Ovis aries: one gene and its partners. The protein of the gene in region 3 interacts with the protein of the main gene of each other region in a biochemical or structural test. Links are inferred from orthologs where the notes say so. Each region holds a gene or a part of one and is shown on either strand. Other genes may lie near its edges.

The links.
Region 1: the proteins of MED1 (region 3) and VDR form a complex in vitro, tested with the Homo sapiens proteins (5 studies listed by BioGRID). The link is inferred for Ovis aries from reciprocal best matches to the Homo sapiens genes MED1 and VDR.
Region 2: the proteins of MED1 (region 3) and THRA form a complex in vitro, tested with the Homo sapiens proteins (6 studies listed by BioGRID, with this or other methods). The link is inferred for Ovis aries from reciprocal best matches to the Homo sapiens genes MED1 and THRA.
Region 4: the proteins of MED1 (region 3) and ESR2 form a complex in vitro, tested with the Homo sapiens proteins (2 studies listed by BioGRID). The link is inferred for Ovis aries from reciprocal best matches to the Homo sapiens genes MED1 and ESR2.
Region 5: the proteins of MED1 (region 3) and HNF4A form a complex in vitro, tested with the Homo sapiens proteins (2 studies listed by BioGRID). The link is inferred for Ovis aries from reciprocal best matches to the Homo sapiens genes MED1 and HNF4A.
Region 6: the proteins of MED1 (region 3) and ESR1 form a complex in vitro, tested with the Homo sapiens proteins (6 studies listed by BioGRID). The link is inferred for Ovis aries from reciprocal best matches to the Homo sapiens genes MED1 and ESR1.
Region 7: the proteins of MED1 (region 3) and RARA are reported together in a solved structure, tested with the Homo sapiens proteins (2 studies listed by BioGRID, with this or other methods). The link is inferred for Ovis aries from reciprocal best matches to the Homo sapiens genes MED1 and RARA.

Annotation. Positions count from the first base shown.
Region 1 is NC_056056.1:138,709,084-138,712,583, forward strand, and holds part of VDR (vitamin D3 receptor), read left to right. Parts: intron 1-988; 5' UTR 989-990; coding exon 991-1,136; intron 1,137-3,500.
Region 2 is NC_056064.1:40,132,230-40,135,729, forward strand, and holds part of THRA (thyroid hormone receptor alpha), read left to right. Parts: intron 1-376; coding exon 377-477; intron 478-2,369; coding exon 2,370-2,517; intron 2,518-3,140; coding exon 3,141-3,346; intron 3,347-3,500.
Region 3 is NC_056064.1:39,589,409-39,592,853, forward strand, and holds part of MED1 (mediator of RNA polymerase II transcription subunit 1), read right to left. Parts: intron 3,415-3,445; coding exon 183-3,414; 3' UTR 1-182. UniProt on the Homo sapiens protein: Component of the Mediator complex, a coactivator involved in the regulated transcription of nearly all RNA polymerase II-dependent genes.
Region 4 is NC_056060.1:74,529,710-74,533,997, reverse strand, and holds the start of ESR2 (estrogen receptor beta), read left to right. Parts: upstream 1-1,488; coding exon 1,489-1,841; intron 1,842-3,414; coding exon 3,415-3,587; intron 3,588-4,288.
Region 5 is NC_056066.1:72,778,024-72,782,311, reverse strand, and holds the start of HNF4A (hepatocyte nuclear factor 4-alpha), read right to left. Parts: upstream 2,801-4,288; coding exon 2,713-2,800; intron 1-2,712. UniProt on the Homo sapiens protein: Transcriptional regulator which controls the expression of hepatic genes during the transition of endodermal cells to hepatic progenitor cells, facilitating the recruitment of RNA pol II to the promoters of target genes. Activates the transcription of CYP2C38.
Region 6 is NC_056061.1:76,733,430-76,736,929, reverse strand, and holds part of ESR1 (estrogen receptor), read right to left. Parts: intron 2,225-3,500; coding exon 1,889-2,224; intron 1-1,888.
Region 7 is NC_056064.1:40,341,174-40,344,002, forward strand, and holds part of RARA (retinoic acid receptor alpha), read left to right. Parts: intron 1-38; coding exon 39-199; intron 200-488; coding exon 489-665; intron 666-1,875; coding exon 1,876-2,080; intron 2,081-2,829. UniProt on the Homo sapiens protein: Receptor for retinoic acid. Retinoic acid receptors bind as heterodimers to their target response elements in response to their ligands, all-trans or 9-cis retinoic acid, and regulate gene expression in various biological processes.

The DNA of each region.
Region 1 (3,500 bases), on a different chromosome or scaffold from region 3:
CCATCTGAAACCTTTCACCAGTCAGGAGGGACCCCAGACATAGCCCTGAGCTAGTAGCCGGCAGGATTGCAGGCGGCAGGTGAAGCTGAGGTCCTGACTTGCCCAAGGGAAGGCTCGTCAGCTGCTTCCTGAGAAGACTCTCCCAGAGCTATTATATTTTGTCCTCTCTGTCTCTTTTCCCTCCTTCTTCAAGTGTGAAATCTATCTCTAGATGATAATGCCTATTTATAAAAGCAGCCTCTGAAAACAAAATTAATTCCTATACGACTCACATTACTCAGAAGGATGTTCAGAACAATGCGTTGAATTTACATTGAAGGGAGAAGGGGGAGGGGGAAAGCTTTGATAACCTGGATACCAGGACAGCAAGGACACCAGGCTGTCCGTCCTGAGCTGTGGGGCTGCTTGGAGCTGGCATGACAGGGTCTGCTATGGGCAGGTAACCTGTCCTCTTCCCCTCACCCTGAAGGATAGAGGGGCTGAAGGTGTCCCTCTGTGTACAAGGCTGTTGGAGGCCCCCTTCCCTTTTGGAGGGGACCCTGGGCAAAGAGGCCTCTGACCTGCAGCAGGTCCACTGCTGAGGTGCAGCTGAGGCCAGTGATGTGGGTATCATTCACAAGAACCTTCCTCACACCCAGTGAAGTAAACACACTCTTCAGATGAGGACAGTGGGACGCAGAGAGGCAGGAGCCCTCACCCAAAGGAGTCCAGCCCGTAGGCACCAGCCTCTGGTTCTCCGGGCTTTGACGCCAGGCCACGCCATGAGCATCGCCACAGCGCCCCCTGCAGACGTGCTCCAGCCTGTCTGGGGAGACCCGCTTCTGCTTGTGGCCGGCAGCCTCAGGAGGGTGAGCTGGTGGCACCCGGAACCACAAAGCGAGGGCGCCAAGGATCCCACTGAGGCCTGGGCCCTGGGGACAGCTCGACTTTGCTGAGCTCCTGGCAGAAGGGCTGCCAGCGGCCTCATCCCCGCCTGCTGTTCTTGCAGCCATGGAGGCGACTGCGGCCAGCACTTCCTTACCTGACCCCGGCGACTTTGACCGGAACGTGCCCCGGATCTGCGGGGTGTGCGGGGACCGAGCCACCGGCTTCCATTTCAACGCTATGACCTGCGAAGGTTGCAAAGGCTTCTTCAGGTGAGTGCCCTGCAAGAGCGAGGAGTAGCGGGTGAGGAACAGAGTTTCCCGCAAAGAGACCCTGCGTGTTCTGTGTCTCCTTCCTCACCAGGCCCAGAAACACTCCCGTTCTCACAGCCACCCGGGCCAACAGGGTCTGTTTCTTCCTCCTCTGCCCTCAGCTCCAGCTTGTCCTCTGGCCCAACTGCTTCCTGGGTGGAAGCAGTTCATGTGAACCCCCATCCGTCCATCACCCCTTGACATACAGCCCCCTGCACCCACCCATGTCCTTCCAGAGTGAACCTCCTACCATTGATGATCAGAGCTTCCTAGTCCAGGAGACTGGCATGGCCTCCAGGAAGCCCAAGAACTTGGCCTCAGAGCACGCACCCCCACCCTCTCCCCTCCTGCCACCATCCAAACCAAACCATCCCCTGGAACAAGGGAAATGACATCCCTAGTTGGACCTCCATACTTGATCTGTGCACCACGACTTGCTTATCAAAGTTGGAAAGCTAACCTCAGAGTGTGCAGGAAAGCACACGCATTCTGGTTTGGTCAGGGCTAGTTTTTCTGCGAGCAGCCTCTTCTCTTTTCATGTAGGCCCAGCATTACCAGTGCAGACTGTATGGGAAAGTCCTGGAAAAGCTGGACAAAGGCTATTCCCATCTGGAGCCAGGGAGGGAGGAGAGAGAAGTGAGGAATGGCAGGGTGGGATTCAAAACCAGGAGAAGTTAGCATTTTGCATATTTTGGAGAGAGAAACAGAATGGAGCCTGGAAGAAGGCAGCCAAAAATGAGCTTCTATGTAATAGTCTTGCTGAGGGTGAGTAAAGCTAATGGCAGGGCTTTCCATCAAAGAGAGGAAAGAGCGAATCAAGTCCAGAACAAGGAATCCATTTCCCTGAACTGGCACTGAGGGCAGCGTGAATCAGAGTTAGAATCCTAACTCACCTGCCCTCTGCGGCAGAAACTGGCAGGCCTGGAGTTTGATTGCCTTGAGCCACCGTGCCGAGGCCCCTTTGAGTCTGAGCTGACTGACGGCCACTACTCCCTCCTGCAAGGTCTGGTGTTATGGTCAGCAAGCTGCTTTTATCTTGCTTCCCTGTCCTCCATCTACCTTATAACTTTACTGCCTCTGCCTTGATGACAGCCCAGGCTGCACTTTTTGAAGAGCCAACATCTCTCCCATTGTTTGGCTTGAATTCTGTTTTATAAATATGCACAGTTGATCCTCATTGTTTGTGGAGTCCACATCTGCAAATCTGACGACCTGGTAAGCTTTACTTGTCATCCCCAGATCAATACTTGCAGCTCTGGTGTTTCTGGACACGTGCAGAGTGGAGAAAAATTCTGTCTCTCATTGTACACGTTCCCAGCCAAGGCTGAGCCAGACATTCTGCCTTCTGTTTCAATTCTCACACTATGAACAAGTGTCCTGTTCTTGGTATATTTAGTGCCATCCTTTTTGCACCTTTGTACCATTTGATAGTGATTTCACTGTGTAAGGTGGCACCCAAGCATGGTGCTGAAATTCTTTCAGGTTCTCCTAAGCATGTGAAAGCTGAAAGGCGCCTTACAGAGAAAAGACATGTTAGACAAGCTTTGTTTAGACACAGGCTTTTTAGCTGTTGGCTATGAGTTCAATGTTAATGAGTCAACAACATGTGTTAAATAAGGTGCGTTTAAATAGATGCCTCACATGAAACAAAGTTATTTACTGATGGACTGATGAAAGCATTGTGACCGGAGGCTCACAGGAACCTAATCCAAATTCTCCTAGGAGCGATGATTCAATATTTGCTGATTCGGCATTCATGATGGCTTTATGAATGTAACTACCACAAAGAACAAGAATAGACTGTCTGCATATAATTTCTCCTCCTCTCTCCCCTCCACATACTTCTCCTCCTTTGCTTCATCCATATACTATTTGATAATCTTCTTCTTTAGTCTATTTCAAATAGCTGTTTGAGAATTCCATTGTCAGTTGTATCTGTCTGCAGAATCCTCATCCTGGGTAGGAAGGCCTCTGTCAGAAGGAGGTCCTTCTCTGCGTTGGGTACCGCATCCTTGAGAACACAAAGATAGCACAAGCCCTTGCTCTCCAGAAGCTCTCTCAGCCCTGCAAGAGCAGTTCTCAAGGAAAAAGCATTACCTTAGGGTTGAGCCACTGACTATATTCTAACCCCTGGGATATAAGCCCCTTTGACCATTTAGTGTTTGATTGACTTCTTAATCAAACTAAATTGCTCTAGAAGTGAGTTGTGATCATTTCAGCAAGTCTAAGACTCATAATCAAATCAAAGTGTGATTATGGGGGTTGGTTGGTTCTATTGACCTATGGTCAAGAATTAGAGACTATTGCCAGCCAGTCACTCCTGCA
Region 2 (3,500 bases), about 540 kb from region 3:
GCCCCAGCCACTGAGGATGGAGTAGGTCAGAAAGGGCCTCTTCCCTTCTCTTCTCCCATCACGCCCTTGCCTGAGGTCCCCGAGATGAGCTGCTGCCGAGATTTGCTTCTCCTTCTCCTGTGTCCCCTGCCCCTGGGATGCAGCAAGAGAGAAAAGCCCTGAAGGGGCAATCAGAAGAACTGGATTCTCCATATTCTTAGGGAAGGGGATGAGCAAGATGACCTCTGTTATGTCTCCAGGACTCTGCCTGGAGACAGAGAACCCTTCAGGGAGGCTGGGCAAGGAAGGAAAAGTGGGGGGATGGAGAGAGTATCAAAGCCTCTCTGCTGGGGCCCCAAGCCATGCCTGCCTGCCTGCCTCCCTTCCTCCCTCCCAGGGTATATCCCTAGTTACCTGGACAAAGACGAGCAGTGTGTCGTATGTGGGGACAAGGCAACCGGTTATCACTATCGCTGCATCACTTGCGAGGGCTGCAAGGTATGGACCAGCCAGCTCCTGCCCCTCCCCCACCACCTGAGCCCCCGACTCGTTCCCTTAAGTCCCTCAGCACCTGGCCCGACAGACAGCTCTATAAACGTGTAACCTAAAGCCCACCTATTTCATCATCATTTCCCCTGTTCATTCATTTGTTCATTCATAGTCACTGCTCTGCCACTCCTAGGCAAGAGGCCTCATCTCTCTGAGCCTCAGGTTCTTCATCTATAAAATGGGTTAGGATAATGATAATACCTATCACATAGCATTGTTGGGGGAATTAAATGAGATAGTGCACATCGAGTATTTAACACGTGCCAAACAGAAAAGAAGCACTCAACAAATGTCTGCTTCCATCCATCCACTCAGTGTACTAAGTGTCAGATGTATAGTACCTGCCTTGACCTCAAGCTGCTCACAGCCTACCAGAGAAAGACTGACGTCAGCTGAAAGCAATATCAGTGTTTTTTAAATGTGGTTCCTGGACCGCCTATAGTACTTGTTAAGTGCAGGTCCCAGCCCTGCTCAATCAGAACATTCTGTGGTGGCTGCCAGGCATCTGCCTTGGAACAGGCTCCCCAGTTGCTTCCACTGCCCGTGAAAGGTTGAGAACCTTTGCTCGGGAGGGGCATGGTGGAGCCCAGAGGAGAGGATGGCAGAGTCTCCCTGGGCAGAGGGGACAAGGTCGTAGACTTGGGGAGACTTAATTAGATCTCACTTTGGGCATTTCAACCTACATGGTTTGTCTAGAGTCATCACCTCCTGAAAATATAAGACCTTTCAAGAAACAGAAAGATTAAGAATACATTGAGGCTTCAAGATCCTCTTTTCTTGCTGTCAGTCAAGCCAAGACCACCAGGAATGGAGAGTCCCCTAGCCGCATTCGTGGAAGCATTACCAGCAGTGTAGCACAGAACAGAGAGTCACACCCTCAAGGCCCTCTGAGTCCCAGTGGGTCATCCTAAAAGGACAGAGATGTCTTCCCACTCCTAGAGAGTCTGATGGTATAGGTTTAGAATGAGGCCCAGGAATCCGTATTTTTGATCGGTGGATTTTAATTGCACCCCAGAATCTGAGAGCTCAAACCTTGCGTCTCATACCTCAGGTCCAGTTCTGACCGTTTAGCCATATAACTTTGGGCAAATGGCTCAATCTCTCCAAGCTTCAGTTTCTTAGTCAGCAACATGGAGATAGTAACAGTTCCTACCTCATGGGGTTGACACCAGCATTAAAGGTGATGATACATGAAAGAAAAGGTTTAGAAGCTCCTGGCTCATTGTAAGTATGCAGCAGACGTTAGCCCTACATATTATTACTGCCATCTTGAGTCTTGAGGTTTTTTTTCCTTTAAAGCAAAGGTTAAACTCCGTATATAAAATTGAAAGTTTTCTTTTCAAGCTAATACTAGTCCATGCCCAATGCCTTTTCTTGATTTTTTTTTTACATTCTCCCTGCCCCTCCACCATTTCATGAATTCCACCTGCATAGGCAACAGGCAGTGTGTATGAGAATGGTTTGGGGCCAGTGTTGTTTCTAGAGTTGTTTAGCAAGATGGAAAATCAGGTATTAATTGGATGTCCACAGTGGCTGTTCCTTCAGGCCTCATCATATTTCACACCCTCCCAGGCTCAGAGCTCCTCTCCGTGGTCACCATCCTTACCTCTGCCACCACCACTCCCCAGGTACCCCGTAGGCAGTTGGGGGCTGAAGACGTGTGTTTCTAAGTCCTGGCAGAGCCCAGGTGATGCTGGGGTTGCTCTGTCCAGAGGATGCCAGGTCCCCTCACTAATTCCCCTAGCCCCTCACCCCCTGCCAGAGAGCTGCATGGTTGGTTCAGGAAGAGAAGATCATGATCACACCATGCTCTGTCTCTCCCCTCCACGCCCCCACTCCAGGGCTTCTTTCGCCGCACAATCCAGAAGAACCTCCATCCCACCTACTCGTGCAAATATGACAGCTGCTGTGTCATTGACAAGATCACCCGCAATCAATGCCAGCTGTGCCGTTTCAAGAAGTGCATCGCTGTGGGCATGGCCATGGACTGTAAGGGGATGGGTGGGGGGAACCGGGCCAGGCAGCTGAAGGGGGGGTGTGTTCAGATGTGGCAGCTCCCTTCCAGGGTACCCACAGGGCAGAGTGACCATCTGGGTCAGGCTGGTGATGGAATGAGTATTCAGAATCTTCAGGGAATTCAGCAGTCCCTGCGGCCCTCATCTCAGAAGAAAAGGAAACAGAGGATTCCTCTATTGGCCCTGAGCACGGGCCCTGGTGCCTACCTGCCTTTCGCCAGTCAAGGGTCTTCAGAGAGTTGTTGGGTAGAAATAAGTCCTGAGTACCGCACCATAACGCAGTATCTCTGACTGCCAGGGAAGGCACTCCAGTACTCTGTGGGGTGAGAGAGGGCCTCTTGTTAGCTGGGGACTGGATGGCTCAGTTTCCCAGTAACCATTGTCACCTTTAGACCAGAACATGGTATCCTCTGGGTTGGAGTTGATGTGGTCCCAGTGATGATCGTGAGCCAGGTTGTGCCACCCGATTACTAGGGAAGTCATTTAGCCTCTCTTGGCCCTTCCCCTCAGTTTCTCCAACCTGAACACTGGGAAGAGTAGTTTCTGAGCAGGTGGCAGAGTGTGCCATGCAAAGGGCATTGTGTCTGTTGTTGACAGTGGTTCTAGATGATTCGAAGCGGGTGGCCAAGCGCAAGCTGATTGAGCAGAACCGAGAGCGGCGACGGAAGGAGGAGATGATCCGATCACTGCAGCAGCGACCAGAGCCCACTCCTGAAGAGTGGGACCTGATCCATGTTGCCACGGAGGCCCATCGCAGCACGAACGCCCAGGGCAGCCATTGGAAGCAGAGGCGGAAATTCCTGGTAAGGAGAGAAGGGGCATGAGTGAGAGTGGCAGCCTGGTGGCCAGGCAAGGGGAGCGAATTCAGAGTCTCGCCTCCTCCAGGAAGCCTTCTTAGATTAGTCCACCCCAAAGCTGCTAGTCTGCACAGCTTGGCAGTTCTGATTTGTACACCTG
Region 3 (3,445 bases):
CAAACCCTATGGTCTCTTTAGTAGGGTCCGGCTATGCCTTTCAAAATTCATCCCACTTGGTGTCAAAGCCATGCCATTTAAGATTCTTAAATACAAAATCAGACCTGTCTGACTCACTCCTTATGGTGATTTGCCTATACACTTAGTTCTTCTCTGGCCATATTTTTGCTTTAAATAGGTTCCTAGTTGCCAATCAGGGCCACATCCATAAGATCGTCATCTTCCTCCCCAATCATAAAGTCAGGGCTGAGCCTTGAGGGCCTGTCTGTAGATAAGATTGTGTTACTTGTCATAGACAAGGACTGGTCTGAAGAGATGGGTGATTTAGACCAACTCTCTGGCTTGATGCTATGAGACTTTTTCTTGTCTCGGTCTTTGTCCCGGTCCCTATCTTTGTCTTTTACTTTCTTCTTTTCTTTTTTGTGCTTCTTATGCTTCTCTGTGCTGTATTCTGGAAGAGGTCGGATGCCATCATCTGAGCTAGGACTGTTCTGATAAGATTTCTCTGCTATGGAGGAGCCTGACTCACTTTCACTGTCCAGATTCTGGGGGGTATATGCTGGTGACTTACTATGGCTGGGAGAGCCACGCTCATGCTTTGGAGTGGAACCACTGATGAGTGGAGAGCCATAGTTTTTGGAAGAGGCCATCTGAGGCCTAAGCCCTTCTCCACCACCTTCCCCAGGTTTCTGCAAAGTCACTTTGGCTTTAATGCTGGGGGATCCCCCATCATGCTTGCTGATGATAATTTTTGCCACACCCGTGCTCCCCACATTTTTAGACTCTGAGGTCTTCTTAGATGAATCCACTGAGCCCCCCGAGGTGGAAACCTTTGATTTGTCTTTATCACTTTTCTCACGCTTGCCCTGGAACTCTCCTCCAGACATGTTATGTTTGGAGGACACAGGATGGCTAGAATTTGTGCTCACCCCCATTTGGCCGTCCATTGGGTCTTCACCCCCAGGGCCACTGGTGACAACCCCATGCTTCAGTTTATCTATGACAGCTGTTAAAGACGGCTTCTTATTTCTGCTGGGAGATTTCCCTTTGGAACTCCCATGCTGGTTCTGAGAGGATGACATGGAAGAGCCACTTGAGGAAAAGGAAGAGGAAGATGCTGTACAAGAGTTAGATGATGGGGGAGTTTTCTGAGACAATGAGCCTGAGGATCCTAACCCTGAAGATGACTTCATGCCGGTGCTTGAACTAGTTCCAGACATGTGAGAACCACCAGAACCTGAACTGATAGGGGACTTGGCTTTAGAGGATGGGGGAGTCCCAGGAACAGGCTTCATTGGAGAGGCAAGCTTATCAGAGCCTCCAGGTGGCCTTGAATGGGAAGGGGATATGTTTGGTTTACTTAAAGAAGGATTCATAAGTGATGATGGCTTCCCTTGAGGTTTCATCTTGGTGCTGCTGGAGCCACTGCTCAGTCCATGCTTGGTAATAGGAGAGGAGCCTGGCTTTCCCCCAGACTGGGATGAATTTTTGGACTGGCTAGATCCAGAAGACCCTTGGCTAGAATATATACTGCTACTTAACTTAGAACTTGATGAACCTTCTGATTTACTGCTTTTCATCTTGCCTGAGTTGGAAGCAGAAGATAAGGAAGAATGGCTATGGTGGCTTTTACTTCCTGAGGAAGACACAGAACCACTGCTGGTATACTGACTGTGAGAAGAGGGCTTGCCCACCATCACAGTTCCCTTAGGAATCTGAATAGTAATTTTGGGAATGGGTGGTGTGGCCACACCTGGGGGAGTCTGAGATCGTCCTGAACTGCCTGGAGATTTGGATCCACCTGTACTAGTAGGTGGGGTGAAAGGTCGGTTAGAAGAACTGTGAGATGGAGACTTTCCCTCAGTGTCTGCCTTCTTCCGCTTTGGAGGCTTATCTTTGCTTTTGCCATCATTAGAAGGGGTTCGACTGCGCTTCCCTGGTTTGCTGTCTAATCCTGTCCCTGACAGACTACTATTACTGGCACCATTGCCTTCCTTTACTCTCTTTTGAGTCTTTTCTTTCCCTAAGTCCCCAGTGGTCAATAAAGGACTCTGGCTACCACTGTGATGCTCCATAAGATCTGTAGGACCCAAAGCCTTACCAGCCACTGCTATAATACTGAAATCAACCGTGTCAGCTTGGCTATTGCCTTTAAACTTAGTCTCCCCATTATCACCTCCAAGCATTGGCACCCCCAAAGTATTTAGTGCCTGAGATGCAAATCCTTTGAAATCATCATTATCTCCACTTTGGCTGCTTTCATCAAAATATTCTTCTCCAAAACCACTTTGGCTCTGGCTGTTCAACAAATCAGGATTGAAATCTACTCCATCAGGAAAAAAATGATTGGTAGGTGAGTCACTACTGGGGCTGCCAGCAGCATCTGCAATAAGGTCAGCTGGATCAGTGTATGGATTTTCATTATTATTGGCTTGAAAGACATCAGGGTCAAAGAGGGCACTCTGAGAATGCCCAGAGCTTGAAGAATCTCGAACAGGGGTGCCAATGGGTGGACAATCGTCACTAGTGCTGGGAAGCTTAGAAGCTTCTTCTGCAATGTCTGAAAGGATATCAGTTACATCTGGGCCAATGCTGTCTGAACTGGATAGTCGGACCATCCTTTGAATACTGGGTTGGGGGTGAGGTACTGGTTGCGGGTAAGTTGTTGGGGGAGTACTACACTGGCTTGGAGCTGGAGTGATGTGTGGCGTATCCAGCGTGTCAGCTGTCATGTTGACATCAAAGATAGGGTTTTGTGAGTCAACATCCATTGAAAATAGCTCCCTCTGAAAGTCATCTTCAGTCTGGTGCTTTGGTTTGTCAGGTGGTAATCTTGATGACTTCTTCTTCTTTGTCTTGTTGCTTCCCGAGCACATTTCCATCCGGGGTGAGCCGGAAGAGGAGTTCTGCCTTTCTAAAGGGCTGCTTCCATAAAGGGTTGAGAAATCCTGGGCAGGATTATCTTTAAGAAGGTTCATGAGCATCGGGTGGTTCTTGGTGTTGCCGGCCATCGAAGAGACAGGTGGCGGCGTGTGATGAGGAGGGGTCGGACTCGAGCCAATGGTAGACCCCCCGTTCCCTGTGATTTGCAACAAACTGGTAAGAATTGGGTTCTGAGATACCTTGCTGAAGTCCTCCCCATGGCCCACCGACTCATGCCGATCTTTGATGCTCATGCTCATATTAAACAAGGTGGTAATGGGACCCCCCGGAAAGGTGTTGGTTGGTGTAGTGGTACCACTCATTGGGTTGTTGCCTGTGGTCATGCCATACCCTGGGCTGCTAGCCGGGGGCAGGTTCTTTTTCACCATGTCTTCAACTGTCTCTGCAATGAGGGACAGTGCTGGGGTGTCGGCCTGAATGGTTTCAGCTTTCCTCCGAATAGCCCTCATCGTCACAGGAATCGACATACATCTGTAAAATAAGATGGAAAAAACAAAATGAA
Region 4 (4,288 bases), on a different chromosome or scaffold from region 3:
TTTATTCTGGCGGACATGTCTTTTTCCAATGATTATTCTGTGTTCAATGTTTTTGTAGCGATTTGAGACATCACCTTTATCATATGACAAATTTCCAAAAACTTTTGACTTTTAAATTTGCTGTTTGGGGATTTTCTATTCTGTTGCATAGCAGTGTGTTTCTCTCCAGTCAGGAAAGAAACTACACAATAAGTTCAACAGGAGAAGTCTACTATAAGAATTCCCAACTGTGATGGGAGATTAAGTGTAAGATGTAAGAAACTCTATAAAGCACCCAAGAGCCGAGGTAGAGTACCCAAGGAAGGACAAACCGGCGGGGTGGGGGTGTTCAGACCTCCTTGGAAAAGATAGTTTGGCCACTAAAATGTCCACTGGTTTTCCCAGACAAAAGTGGTCTGGAGTTGCAGGTGGGGAGCAGGCAGTCAGCATTTGGTGGTGTGGGCATGCCCTGGAAATCCAGTTGCCTGCCAGAGCGGAAGGCCTTCAGAGCATGCAGGTGCTGGTGATGAAGCTTGCACAAGGGACAAATTCTCTAACTCCTCAGGCCGTAGTCTGAATAGGTCATTGCAGAAAGGTTCTTGCCATGCCAGGGCTGCATGTTTGCAGTGGGATCTCGTTCTGGTCGCACAGGCTCCACTGGCTGTTCTCACCCACCATGTCAGCCTCTGCCCCTGCCAGAAATCACAGCGGCCTCTTCCTCCTGCAGTCCCTGCAGCGCCCTCTACTGAGAAAGCTTAGCACTGGGCTCAGTTTAAATGCTTAAAGGAATTCTATTTCCATAGAACATACACTACATATATTGAAGAGTGCATTAGAAGGTGAGAGGCAATAAATTGATCCTTGACAGGTGCATTGGCCTATGTATTCCTTTTTTTTATCATTGGCTATTCATGATATATTTGAAGATCTGTTAATGCTAGTCATGCTTACTGATCTACCCTTTGAGGTAGGTTTTTAAAATTTTTCTGTAAGAATTTAAAAATGAATTTATCTACTTCTAGGGGGAAAAAAACTGGTTGGCATTTTTACTTAATCGTATATTTTTTAAGTTTGTTTGTTTTTTCTCCAGAGATTGAACCCAGGCCACAGCACTGAGAGCCCAAAGTCATAACCACTAGGCTAGCAGGGAACTCCCTGTGTTTTTTAATTTTTAAAAGTATTTTATATTAAATTCTCATGGTAGAAAATTCTTATAGTTAACAACAAAAGCTTTATGGAAGTGAATGAAGGGAGAGAATGAATTCCATGCCTTTTATTCCTACCCCTCTGAGGTTGTGTGTATATTTTTCAGGATGTATTTCTGGGTCCATATAAGTGTGTGTGTGTAATAAAAATGTGTCAACCTTTTTCACAGTATGCTTGTACCTGTAACTTAGAAATGTCTTTTCTTTTTTCTTTACAGCCATACCTGTCCATGACTCTGAGAACATTATAATGTTCTTTTGTGCTTCTCACAAGGGGTTTTCCTAGCTGTTACCTACTCAAGACATGGATGTCAAAAACTCACCATCTAGCCTTAACTCTCCTGTCTCCTATAACTGCGGTCAATCCATTCTACCCCTGGAGCCAGGCCCCATATATTTACCCTCTTCCTATGTAGAGAGCCGCCATGAATACTCAGCCGTGACATTCTATAGCCCTGCTGTGATGAATTACAGTATTCCCAATAACTCAGAAGATGGGCCTGGTCGACAGACCACAAGCCCAAATGTATTGTGGCCAACTCCTGGACACCTCTCTCCTTTAGCCATCCATTGCCAGTCGTCACTTCTGTATGCAGAACCTCAAAAGAGTCCTTGGTGTGAAACCAGATCATTAGAACACACCTTCCCTGTGAACAGGTAAATCCAGTCTTCATTCTGAATTATATTATGGCCGATATTCAGATTGCTTTATGACTTAGTGAGAAGAAAGATATGTGTTATACAAGGTCTTCATTATCACATAGAGCACCTAGAACATCTGATGTTCTGAATTCTAGGATATCTATTCTGATATTCTAGTCCTTACTAAAAAGTTGAGCTTTTAGATCTGTGTTGTGGGGGAGAATTCACTTCATGACTATCTTTGGAAAATATTTAATTTAAATCACTTTCTTCTTGATGAAGTGATTTGAGTTTGAAAAAGGAATTTTTATTTTCAAGTTAGAGCCTTCCTATCTTGAAGTGAAATCACAACTTAGTGTTCATGACAAATTATGTCCAAGATAAAAGTAACCATTGGTATTACAACTCGATGAAATGCTAGACAGGTGAAAAGACAAACAGTGGTACAAATTTTTAAACAGTGAACTAAATAACATTTTATAAAGATTGACAGGAAACTAATGTGGACTTTAGTTGAACATTCTGAAACTCTAAGTGCAAGGTAACATCAGGGATTATTTGCATTCAATTTGTTATACGTACACACACGTATATATTTTGTGCTATGTGGCTGTGGGATCTTACTTCCCCAACCAGGGATTGAACTCGGATAGTTTTAATGATAATCATGGCTACAGAGGGCAGAGTTAGTATAGGCAGAAGCATGAGGGGGCATAACTTTACACAAGAACCCAAGTACTAAGTTATGGCATATTTGGTATTGAAGTTTATTACTTTCAAATTCATAAAACTTTGAGAAAGCCATATTACACACTAATTTTATTTTTCTTCTTTTTTAAAGAACTTTTTGATTGGTAAAAGAGAATATGAAAAATGTAGATGACTTTTTAAAAGTAATGTCTTCACATTCAACTTTTAAAGGAAGAAATATCTTATTTCTGAGGACAAGTTCTAATCAGAGCTCTGCTAATATTTGGGTACATTAAACCTCAGCATATTAAATTTATACATCAATCATACCTCTGCCATGTCCTTTCCAAAGGAAACATGCTGTAGCAAAATTAGGAACTAGCCCGGTGTGTTCTTGGTGTCTGCCGGTGGCCCACTGTGGGTTCCCCCTTCCTCTGTGGTAAGCCTCTCCACCCTGCATTGAACACCTGCTTTCTTCAGAGCCTTCTCAAGGGACAGGCATGTGTTTATGCTCTCCCCCTCTCCTCTTCTCTTCTCCTTCGCTTTCCCCTTTTCGCTACTGCTCCCACCCAGACTTGATGTAGTCACTGATTACAGAGATGTACACATTGATGGCTATAGCTAGTTCTCCATGGTAATCGGTGTTCATCCACACTGTGTGGATGGGTGTAAACTCACCTATCCACTTTCAGACACCAGCGATCCCAACAGAGCGACTCTTAATAGATCTGATATCAGTAACAAAGGTTTTGCTTGATCAGATCTCTTGGAATATATTTGTTATGAAGCCTGGAGGGCAAAGAGATACACGAGGCAATGTTCATGCTGTTCCTTTTTCTAGAAAGGCCTTGTTTTACCGTCAATGTTCTTTTACAGTGAATGTTCTCTTTGCCCCTAGGGAGACATTGAAAAGGAAAGCTAGTGGGAGCAGTTGTGCCAGCCCTGTTTCTAGTCCGAGTTCAAAGAGGGATGCCCACTTCTGTGCTGTCTGCAGCGATTATGCGTCGGGATATCACTATGGAGTCTGGTCATGTGAAGGATGTAAGGCCTTTTTTAAAAGAAGCATTCAAGGTACAAGAATGTTGTTAGCTGCTTTTTTTGTTTTCCACTTTGCTTTTAAACAATGTTGCGGATGACCTGGCAGAAATTTTACCTTTGTTTGGCCTGCTTGGTACACAGAGTACTTGGTGACTGTTTCAGAGGATCATGTGTCTTTGGGGGTGGGGGGATTGTTTCAAGTATAGAGTACTTTATCTTTCACTCAGATCTCTACCCCCAAACCCAAATGGATCTTGCACCACCATCACCTGTTGCCGTCTTCCTAGGAGGAAACATAACCTTTGTGAAGGCTGGAAAAAATGTGTGCCCATTAGGAACTGTGAAGATTGTTTCTTCCTTTGACTTATGTTTAATATCTAGCATATGTAACAGTTGAGATGGTGGGCTGGCTCCTGAGGAAGAGAGAATATGTTTTATGCAGTCAGTAGCTCAACTAGTGGAACCTCCTTTACATTCCTATTTTCTGGTCTGAGTTTAGACTGTTTCCCTTTCCTTCTCCAAATTTCTGCTAGGCTGGCTTTTTGTTTCTGTGATTTTGTTAAATCATCTCTTTAATCAATTTCAAATTGTACGCACCTGGTTTCAAGGCCAGTCAGCCCCTTGCCACACGTTTCCTTGCCAGGCCTAATTGCTGCAGGCACTTTCTTGCTTTCCTGTGCTCTTAGCTGTCTCTCTACCCCCATAACTCCTCCCTTGTCAGCCCTCCTTCCAGG
Region 5 (4,288 bases), on a different chromosome or scaffold from region 3:
GTAAAATAAAAACTTTTCTGCAAAAGACGACTCTGGGAGCAGATGATTTCCAGCCTCCAGGCACAAGCGGACACACTGCCACATCTCATTTCTGTCATGTCCTGGCTGAACATCTCGTCGCCTCCGAGGGTGCCCAGGAGCACGGCCCCCTCCACTTGGTGAATTATTCCTGGAGATGAGGATAATTGTTAAGCTGCATTGGTGCCCTTTCTCCTCCAGCCTTGCCTCCTCCAACCACCGGGACAGCTGACCCTACAACTCAGGCGGAGACTGGGGGAAGGGCTCACACATCCTGGGCAGGATAGGCTGGGTGCTGCCAAGTAGCTCATCCTACACCCCAGGGTCAGGGGATGGTGCCCATTCTCCAGGTGAGAACATCAAGGCTCAGAAAGGACAGGACCTTCCCAGAGATCACACTGCTGCTAAGTAAAGGAGTCAGATTTATGGTCCAGGCATGCAGGCTGGTGCTGATCTGGCCAGTGCTGTCCTGTTGGCGTGTCTGCTGGAGCCTCTGATAAAGGACCCCCTGGTCCTTCTGAATCAGGGATGGGAGGTGGGTAGGGAGCTTAGAACCTTTGAGCTACCAACCCAGCACATATGCAAAACATCGCCCCAACTTTCTGGCCCACTTCAAACTCCAATGGGGAATGTAGACCCTTCTTAAAGATGCTCAGAGTTCCTGACCTGACTCATGGAGGGCGCAGGACCAGTTACCAGTGCTAAGCCCTCAGGTGCCTTATCACATGGGATCCTCTGGTTAGCCCTGGGAGGCAGGCACTATGATTTATTCTCATTTTACAGATGAGAAAATTGAGGCTCAGAGAGGAAAATGGCTTCATAAGTTTACACTGGTAGGAAGGATGGATGCCAGAATTGGAGCCCTGATCTTTCTGGCTCCAGAGCTAGAGCTGGCCTGTCTTTAGGACATCCCGTAAGGAGCTTAGCCCCTGCCTCGGGGACACACACTTCCTGGGAGCTGGAGGCACCCACTCTGAAGGGGTGATGGGACAGTCCAGGGCTAGACGGTGGTCGGTGTCTCGCACGCTGTCTCTGGGGTCACACACACCCCACCGAGTGCAGCAGCTTCCTGTTTACTGTGTCCTACATGTTTTCCCCTCAGCTCCCTCACGTGATCCCTGGACACTCCTGAAAGCCAGCAGGCCTGGAGTGACTAAGCCCATTCTGCAGAAGGAGCCAGGAGAGGGGAGGTGACATGCCCAAGGTCACACAGTGAGTGAATGGCAGGGGGAGGTGAGCAAATGGTGAGAGCGACCACGCATCACGCCCACTGACCACGGGCAGGGCAAATACCTCCCTCTGGCTGAGCTGAGCTGACTCAAGTGCTACAGAGCTTGGCTAAAGCTGCAGAACCATGGAAGGAAGGCAGGTGGGCTGCCCTCCTCCTCAGGCTGGCTTGTGACTGGTCAGGTCCCCGCATCCTGGCTTCCAAGCCTCCTCCCTTCCCCCACCTCCTTGTGGAGGAGATGTGCTCTCAGTGATAACGGGAGCGGATGTACAAACCTGGGGAGACACACAGGCAACGCAATCTGGTCTGAGACAAATGGACGTGTTGCTGATGTGACTCGCGTGTGTGAATGGCAACGGCATATCACATGAGCGCTGAAGAGAGCTGACCCCCCAGGACGGGGATGTGCACACGTACACAAGCAGGTACAAATAGGGGCACGAGACAGGATGCCCAAACTGGATATATGTCCAGGAAACCCAGGACGCACAAACCAATCCACGTCCAGAGCTCATACGTGCAAACGTCATGGACACACATACACACTCATCACTGCTTACCGTATACACACATTGCCGCTTACTGTACACACACTCATCGCCACTTATGGACATAAGCAAGATAAACACAGATATCCCTAGAGATAACAACAAACACGGACCCACTCAAAGAAGAAATGCAACTAGAAACAAATGCAGAACACGTGCACACACAGACCAGTGAACACAAACATGCAAATGGGTTCCTGCAGACATACATTTGCAACAAAGTCCACCGCTTGCCCACGTGTGTACATGGAAATTCAAGCACCCATGCCAATGGGAGGTTACAATCGCATACCAGTGAGCTTGTGCGTGTGCGCACACACACACACACACACACACACAATGCGCGTGCCCATGCGCACTGTTGATCCCCATCTCATTTAGCAAAACCTCCCTGAGAACTCCATTTTCTCTAAGTGGGGCGTTCACCCCAGGAAAGTCCCAAAGACACCCTGAAACACAGTCATGTCTCCATCCACCGTCTCTGGGGACGGGACATAACCTTTCCATCTCTCTGGACCTCGGCCCAAGGGGTTCAAGCAGAGGTCATGCTGGGCCCAATGGCTGGGGCTGGATGCCGAGAGGACGCTCACCATGAAGTCCCCGCTCCCAGTGACATGCTGCACAGCGACAGCTTTGGTCACAGGGACCACGAAGGCCTGGCAGGAACACCCAGGGCCTACTCTTGCTGCAGATGGCCCTGGCAGACCACCCCGCCCCCCGCCACCACCCCGAAGGCTTCTGGTCACTGTACCTGGGAACATTGACTTCACCTGGCAACACCTGTGCCCTCACTGACGGGACCACCACGCTCAGCTACCGCTGTCCCCCCAGCCCCAAACCCAGTGCGTCAGACTCGCTCCGGTACCTGGGTACACCTGCCCCCACCTGGCACACCTGGGCACACCTGCCCCCACCTACCATTGCCCATCGTCAACACCTGCACATTCTCAAACTCCAGGGTGGTGTAGGCTGGGTCCAGCGCAGCACTGTAGTCGGCCATGTCCATGTCGACAAGGGTTTTGGAGAGGCGCATCCTCCCTCTCCCCGCCTCGGCCGCCTGCCCTGCCCAGGATGCCCACCCCGAAGGCTCTGGGCTGAGCCCCGGCCTCTGCGCTCCGCCCTCCCACCGCCTCCTCCCAGCTGCCCTCTCTGCCTTCCTGCGTTTCAAACCGTCCTCTGGGAGGGTCTGCCGGGAGTCTGGGCCTAGCCTCTGCGCAGGGGTGGAGGCTCTGCTGGGGAGGGGTGGGGGTTAATGGTTAATCGGCTCCCCCCCCCCACCCCGGTGGACTGGCTGGGCGGGGCCCTGGGGATTTGGCTGTCTGTTGGTTTCTGGCTGACACCAGGGTGCTCTTACAACAGATGGGGGGCCCTAACACCCCAATAACGTGTTACCAGTCCTGTGAGACGACGGACACATGCTGTTTCTCCAGCACTCACTGGACCCTGACTCAGCCACCCTCTGAGTCACTGTCACCCCAAGTCATGCTGATACTGACATGCTCACACGCGCCCCCAGACACTGACAGCCCACCTCCAAGACGCCCTAACTCAGGAACTTCCCAAATCATTGACTTCAACCCTCTTATAGAGATAACGCCGTCTCATGGCTCATGAATCAGAAGCGTCGGTCTCAGGCCCCACATACCAGGTTTCTAGATCCTCGTTCTAGGAGGCCCCTTCCGGTTTCTTGCCTTCCCTAGGGGCAGGAAGGACTGAGAGGCCCAGACTCCTGTCTAGGTCCCCTCCCCTGCTCCCCAGGACCACACTCTGGCAACCACCAGCCCCCACAGTGCCCAGGTGCTCAGGCCCAGACAGATTCTATCACCCCTTTCCTTGTCACCTCCTCCAGCTCCCCCCCCTCCACCCCGTGCCTCCCCCACCCCCCAGGGAAGAAGGGAGGCTTATAGTCCCTTAGACCCGGATTAACATTCAGGCGCCTACCACCTACTAATCATGACTCTGGGTAAATGATTCTCCTCTCTGAGCCTCAGTTTCCTCTTCTAGAAAAATGCACAATCAACTTCAAAGGGTGGTCTGAGTATTAAATGAGTTGGCGTTAGGAAAACACCAAGCAGGTATCCATTTCCCTCCACCCCCACCCTCTTGGCCTCCCTTTCAAATCTCCCTTGTTTCTCTCCTCCCTCCAGAGCGGGGTTCGTGAGCGGGGTTCGCGGGCAAGCCACCCGAGCAGTGCACTCTGGGGCAAAGGAGCTCCCCTCTCACGCTCCTGTGTTTGCTTTCATGCTCGGCTATTCTGAGCAAGGGGCCTGCATTTTTGTTTGGGACTGGGCCCTGCTAATCTTGTGGCCTTCAATTCACGCCTAACGTTTTTCTTCTCATCCCCTCCAGCCCTCACTGCCCGCTACACAGACAGGGGCAAGAGCTCCCGATCTAGCTGGGCAGATAAGGTCTCGAGGTAGAGGTGGAAAGTGCAGGTCTGGGGAGAAGGACCTACGATTCTGGAGGCCTGGGAGCTTGTCCTCCTTTGTTGGCA
Region 6 (3,500 bases), on a different chromosome or scaffold from region 3:
TTTAATTTTAATTAGATCCCATTTGTTTATTTTTGCTTTTATTTCCAGAATTCTGGGAGGTGGATCATAGAGGATCCTGCTGTGATTTATGTCGGAGAGTGTTTTGCCTATGTTCTCCTCTAGGAGTTTTATAGTTTCTGGTCTTACATTTAGATCTTTAATCCATTTTGAGTTTATTTTCGTGTGCAGGGTTAGAAAGTGATCTAGTTTCATTCTTTTACAAGTGGTTGACCAGTTTTCCCAGCACCACTTGTTAAAGAGATTGTCTTTACTCTGTTGTATATTCTTGCCTCCTTTACCACATTACATTTAAATTCCAATATTTACTTATCATGGATCTGCCTCACAAAGGAATATTAAGGTAGAGAAGTGCTCATTAAAACTCCTAATTCCAAATATGGCTGGGAGTCTTTATTTGCCAGTTGGACTGACTCAAAATCTAAATATGCCTGTGAATCCCCATGTTTCCATGTAACCCAACCTCTGCCACCTAAATAGATGCCTTCTATCCAGTTTGGATCACAAAATTGCTGGCTCCTTATTCAAAAGACGACATGCTTACATGTTAATAAATGCAAATCTAAGGCCAGATATATATTCACTTGGCCTATAATCTCTGAAATGTAACTACAAAACTCCTTATTTATTTAGTTTAATAAAAAACAAAATGCATGCTTCATAGATAATAAGTTCATCTACTAAAAGAAATCAGTCCATCCTAAAGAAGATCAGTCCTGGGTATTCACTGGAAGGACTGATGTTGAGGCTGAAACTCCAATATTTTGGCCACCTCATGCGAAGAGTTGACTCACTGGAAAAGACCCTGATGCTGGGAGGGATTGGGGGCAGGAGGAGAAGGGGACGACAGAGGATGAGATGGCTGGATGGCATCACCGACCCGATGACATGAGTTTGAGTGAACTCCAGGAGTTGGTGATGGACAGGGAGGCTTGGCGTGCTGCGATTCATGGGGTCGCAAAGAGTCGGACACAACTGAGCGACTGAACTGAACTGAACTGAACTGAACTAAAAGAAAACTCACAAGATAGTCACTATCTAAATTCATTACTTGTTTGATCTATAAGCACAGAAAAGAAGATTTAACTTCCTCTTGCCTTGATTCATCTATGTTAGCTCCTGAATGGATATGATGGGGTATGGAGGAGGTCATTTTCTAGTCTTGTTTCCATAATAACTAGAGTTCTTCCCCCTGAACAATAGAGCAACAGTCATGTTTTATAAAAACACCAGTTCTGAGAATATCAGCTGAAGAATCAAGTATAACTTTAGCCACTGTTATCTCTCCACAAGCTCCCCTCAGAGATGAGAACCTAGTTGATTTTTCTATTGCATTACCTTGTTTCTAAACTGTTAATAGATGGCTCAATGAATATTTGGCACTCAGTAAAAAAAAAAAAAAACTTATTATTTCTTTAGCTCATAAATACCTGAAAATAAAATCTTGTACAGTAAAATTGATGACTCACAATTTAGGTGTTTTGAACAAAAGTCCTCAACATTAAAAATTTATAGGACATGGATCATTTCGTGTTAAAAATTTCTGCCACAGTGAACATATAATATTAAATGCATTTATTATCTAGTGTTCACCCCAGATTTGGGGGGGGGGTGAATATTGATGGGTTAAAAAAATAATGTCAGATTAAAGACTTTAATCATCTAGATTTTTATTTCAAAACACTATTTCCTAATTTCCAGGAGAATTAAGACTGTATAGATACTGAAAATTAATCAGTTCTGATATGACTTTAAAATCAACTAGATAACAAGCTATTGTGTCCCACTATCTCTCCCATGATACGTATGGCAACCTGTTCATGAATAGTTAATGGCTGCTCAAAATAAAAGTCAAGCTTAGTCTTCTTACCTGGCACCCTCTTTGCCCAGTTGATCATGTGTACCAGCTCCCTGTCTGCAAGGCCGGTCAGCAAGCCCATCATTGAAGCCTCACTGAAAGGTCTGGTAGGGTCATACTCAGAATAGATTATGGGGGGCTCAGCCTCCAGCAAGGCACTGATCATCTGGTCAGCCGTCAGGGACAACACCGGGCTGTTCTTCTTAGTGTGTTTAATCATGATCGGGCTTGGCCAAAGGTTGGTAGCTCTCATGTCTCCGGAGGGCACCGCTTCGTTCCTGCCCTCCCCATCATCTCTCTGGCGCTTGTGCTTCAACATTCTCCCTCCTCTTCGGTCTTTCCGTATCCCTGAGAACACACACACAAAAATAGCTTATTCTTTTGCTCATATAAACTTTCACATGAAAACCATTTTTAATGCTAACAGCCCTTTATTTTATTTTAGGAAATAGTTTGGGACACAGTTGTGCTTCTAAGTGTTTAACAACCAGCTGTCCACGAGAGGGGAAAAAAAGGCTTTGATTTGTAGCATTCACCAATTTCCATGGTGTAATGACTCCCACCATGGCAAATTTCAAGCTTCCTGTCTGAGATCAAGCAGTGTACAAAACTCCTACAAATTTAACAATAGGCTTTTGTGAGCCAGTGCAAGTTGCTCTTACATACTGTTGCAGGATGTGTGTGTGTGTGTGTGTGTGTGTGTATGTGTAACAGATGCTATAAAAAAGACAACATATTAATTAGCTACTCTTGAAATATGCCATATCAAAGATTGCTCCTGCTATGAATATTCTTTCAATAGCAAATTTAAAAAGCATCTTTAGAAAGTATTTAATAAGTGTCCTTATTACCCAAGTAGACCTCTTAATGGGAGACACTAAAAAGGAATCATTTATCCAAAATGTATCTGACAGTCTCTAGCCTCCACAGATGTTGAGTCAATCTATTATTACTACTAAGCTGTACCTCATCACCTGAGTAATCGACTCAAGGGCCTCAACTTGTTGACTAGGTTCTAAGATGTCACAAATGTCTTTCTATTTTCCTAATATTAAAGTTTTAAAAGAGTTGAAAATAGTCTTCCCTCAAAGATTTACCAGCTGTGGTTCCCCCTAACTAATTAAAGGAGCAGAGAGACTCCAGCTTTTTTGGCAGAGATTCTTTGAGGCTTGGTTCAGCATCTTAACCTAGAAAACACCAGGCTGTAGTACCAAAATGCATCAGCAGAAACAAATATTTTAAAGGAAAAAAATGAACACAAGGGGCCATATTTTCAAAAACTCTTAATCTCTCCAAAATAGAACAGAAAGCAACAACTCTTAGATTTGTATAAAAGAAATAATTATTTTGGTAAAAATCTAATTATTTTTAATATTAAAGACATGAGAAGGAAAATTCTTTGTAACAGATCACCTGTCCTCTGATTCCAAAACAAATGAATAACTGATGTCAGAATTTTGCTCTGTTTTGTTCTATCAAGGAGTTTGGACAAATGTTCACTGGTGGGTTTTTATGCATAGCTTTTATTCTTGTAGATCTAGATTAGATATGTTACATGATATTAAAAATATAATGATGCCACAGACCCTTCCTTATTTGTTCAGTATCAAAATAAGCATTTCTC
Region 7 (2,829 bases), about 750 kb from region 3:
CACCTGCCCTCTCACTGTGCGGCCTGGGCCCTCCACAGCCGTGAGAAATGACCGGAACAAGAAGAAGAAGGAGGTGCCCAAGCCTGAGTGCTCTGAGAGCTACACGTTGACACCGGAGGTGGGGGAGCTCATCGAGAAGGTGCGCAAAGCGCATCAGGAGACCTTCCCTGCGCTCTGCCAACTGGGCAAATACACTACGGTATGGCCCACCCCCCGCCAACCTCATGCCCTCCAGCTGTCAGGCCTGCCCCTCCCCCAGGCTGGGCAAATACACTTCGGTACAGCCCCCCAGGGGCACACCTGCTTCTTCCAGGCCTGCCCCTCCGCAGCCCTGCTTGGGCTGCCTTGTCTGCCCCTTCCCCGCCTCTCAGGAAGTGAAGGCCAGTAGAGGGCAGGCCTGTGGGGCGGGGCAGGTAGAGCCAGGCCCAGAAGGGTGCCACCAGGGGAAGGCCCTCACTTTCCTCCCCCTGCCCCCCCCATCCGCCCAGAACAACAGCTCAGAACAGCGTGTCTCCCTGGACATTGACCTCTGGGACAAGTTCAGTGAACTCTCCACCAAGTGCATCATTAAGACTGTGGAGTTCGCCAAGCAACTGCCCGGCTTCACCACCCTCACCATTGCGGACCAGATCACCCTCCTCAAGGCTGCCTGCCTGGACATCCTGGTGAGGGTCTGCACCTTGCCCACCTAGGCACTGCCCCCTGTGTTCTTGGAGGATGTCCTGCCGCTCAAATAAGCACCTTCCTAAAAATCTGTCTGGAGTCAACCTGTCCAAAGGCCCACCCACCCAAACAGCCACCTTTGCTCTCTCCCGCATGTCTACCTGTCTGCTTAGCCACCCAGCACCCGGTGTGCACCATTCACCTGTACTCTCATTCGTCCATCCTCAGCCCATCTTTGATTCAGTGCTTCCGTCCAGCCACCCATCTTCCCATCTATTCAGTCTAATAAAGGTTCACCTGGGACCCTGTATGGCCAGGCCTTGAACTGGGTTTCAGAACAGAGGTGAACACACCACTGTCCCCTCTTGAGAATCTTCCATTGGTGGAGGCAACAGATAGGTAAACAGAGGTTGCAAAACTGTGATAAGTGCTGGCTGCAGATAGGGGAGGGCTGTCCCCTCCCTGCAGGACAGAGAGCCGCACTGCTGGGCCCTAGGGAAGAGCCCCAGAGGAGGTAGCCTCTAGAGGTGTGTAGAGCGGTATGTGGAAGGCCTGCTGGTGTGGGACCAGTGGGATTCAGGGGCCTGCAGGGCATTTGGTGGGGCCAGAGGGTAGGCTGGACTTGAGGCAGGATGGGGGCGGATGAGACTGTCAAATCCAAGGCTGGAGGGAGGCTTGTCCTCCCTGTCTTCCTCAGCCCTCCTGTTCCCTCTTGGCGACCTCCAAGGTCGGGAACCTGGGCTGTGACCAGGCTGCTGCTCCTGGTGGAAGGGAGATGCAAGAGGCAGGGTCAGGGTTTGAGAGAGCTGAAGATGAGGTACATTTACTGAGCTCTTGTTCTGTACCCAGCCCTGGGAACCATAGACCGAAACCCCCTTTGGTTTGGGCCTTCCTGGAAATGTTTTGTCTCCCTCTTAATTCTCTGTGTGGAGGCAGGATGCTGTAGATTTGCACTGTCTAATACAGTAGCCGCTGGCCATGTATGGCTGTTTTAAATTGAAATTAATTAAAATTAAATTCAGTTCCTCAGTTGCACTCAGCATGTCTCAAGTGCCCAGCGGTCACCAGTGTGACTGGTGGCTACTGTGTTGCACAGAAGGTTCTGTAGAACCGTAGTGGTCTGGCTGCCGGCCAGGTGGTCCTGGGGGGGATGCTGGTGCCGGAAGTGCTGGCGGATGTGAGTTCCTGAACTCGAGAACCCTCTGCACCCAGATCCTGCGGATCTGCACGCGGTACACGCCCGAGCAGGACACGATGACCTTCTCGGACGGGCTGACCCTGAACCGGACCCAGATGCACAACGCCGGCTTCGGCCCACTCACGGACCTGGTCTTCGCCTTCGCCAACCAGCTGCTTCCCCTGGAGATGGATGACGCTGAGACTGGGTTGCTCAGCGCCATCTGCCTCATCTGTGGAGGTGGGCAGGGGCCCTGGGTCTGGGGGCCAGGCTCAGGGGTGGTGGTGTGGCTTGCGGAGCCTCTCCCAGGGAGAAGCTGGGGGATCATTTGATCAGAAAGGCACCTGTCAGACAGGAAACTGAGTCCCAGTGGAGTAGGATCTGGTCTGTGGCCACAGGGCAAGGGAACAGTGATGGAGACCTGAGCTCTGGTTCCCTATTTCCAGGCAGCGCTCCTTACAGGGGGCTTACGAGTGAGGACTTGGAGGTCAGACCACCCAGGTTCAAATCCTGGCCAACATGTGACCTTCAGCAGGGTCGCTGAACTTCTCTGAGCCTCCATTTCTGTAAAATGGGGGCAGTAATGGTCTCCACTTCATAAAGTTGATGGGAGGATTAGGAGGTAATAAATAAGGCACAGTGTGCCCAGAGTAAGACCCAGGAGATGTTGGCTGCTGTTACTATTTTATTGACATGAGTGCTGCCATGTTGGGCTGGTGTCCAGAATAACCAGCAGGAGTGGGAGACCTACCTCTACTTAAGATGGCACTGCCTGTGTTTAGGGGTGTGGGCTCTCAGGGTGAGCTTTGGGACACCCTTGTCCCCAGCCCCTCTTTGCTCACATTTGCCCCTCTTTGCTCACATTTGAGAGCCTCTTAGGGCCTCTGTGTGTGGGGAGGCGTGGGGAGCAACGATACTCTGCCTGTGGCCTGGACAGGGGCGCCCCCTGGTGGTCACGATGGGGCCCGCAGCTGTGCTCCTCACCGGAC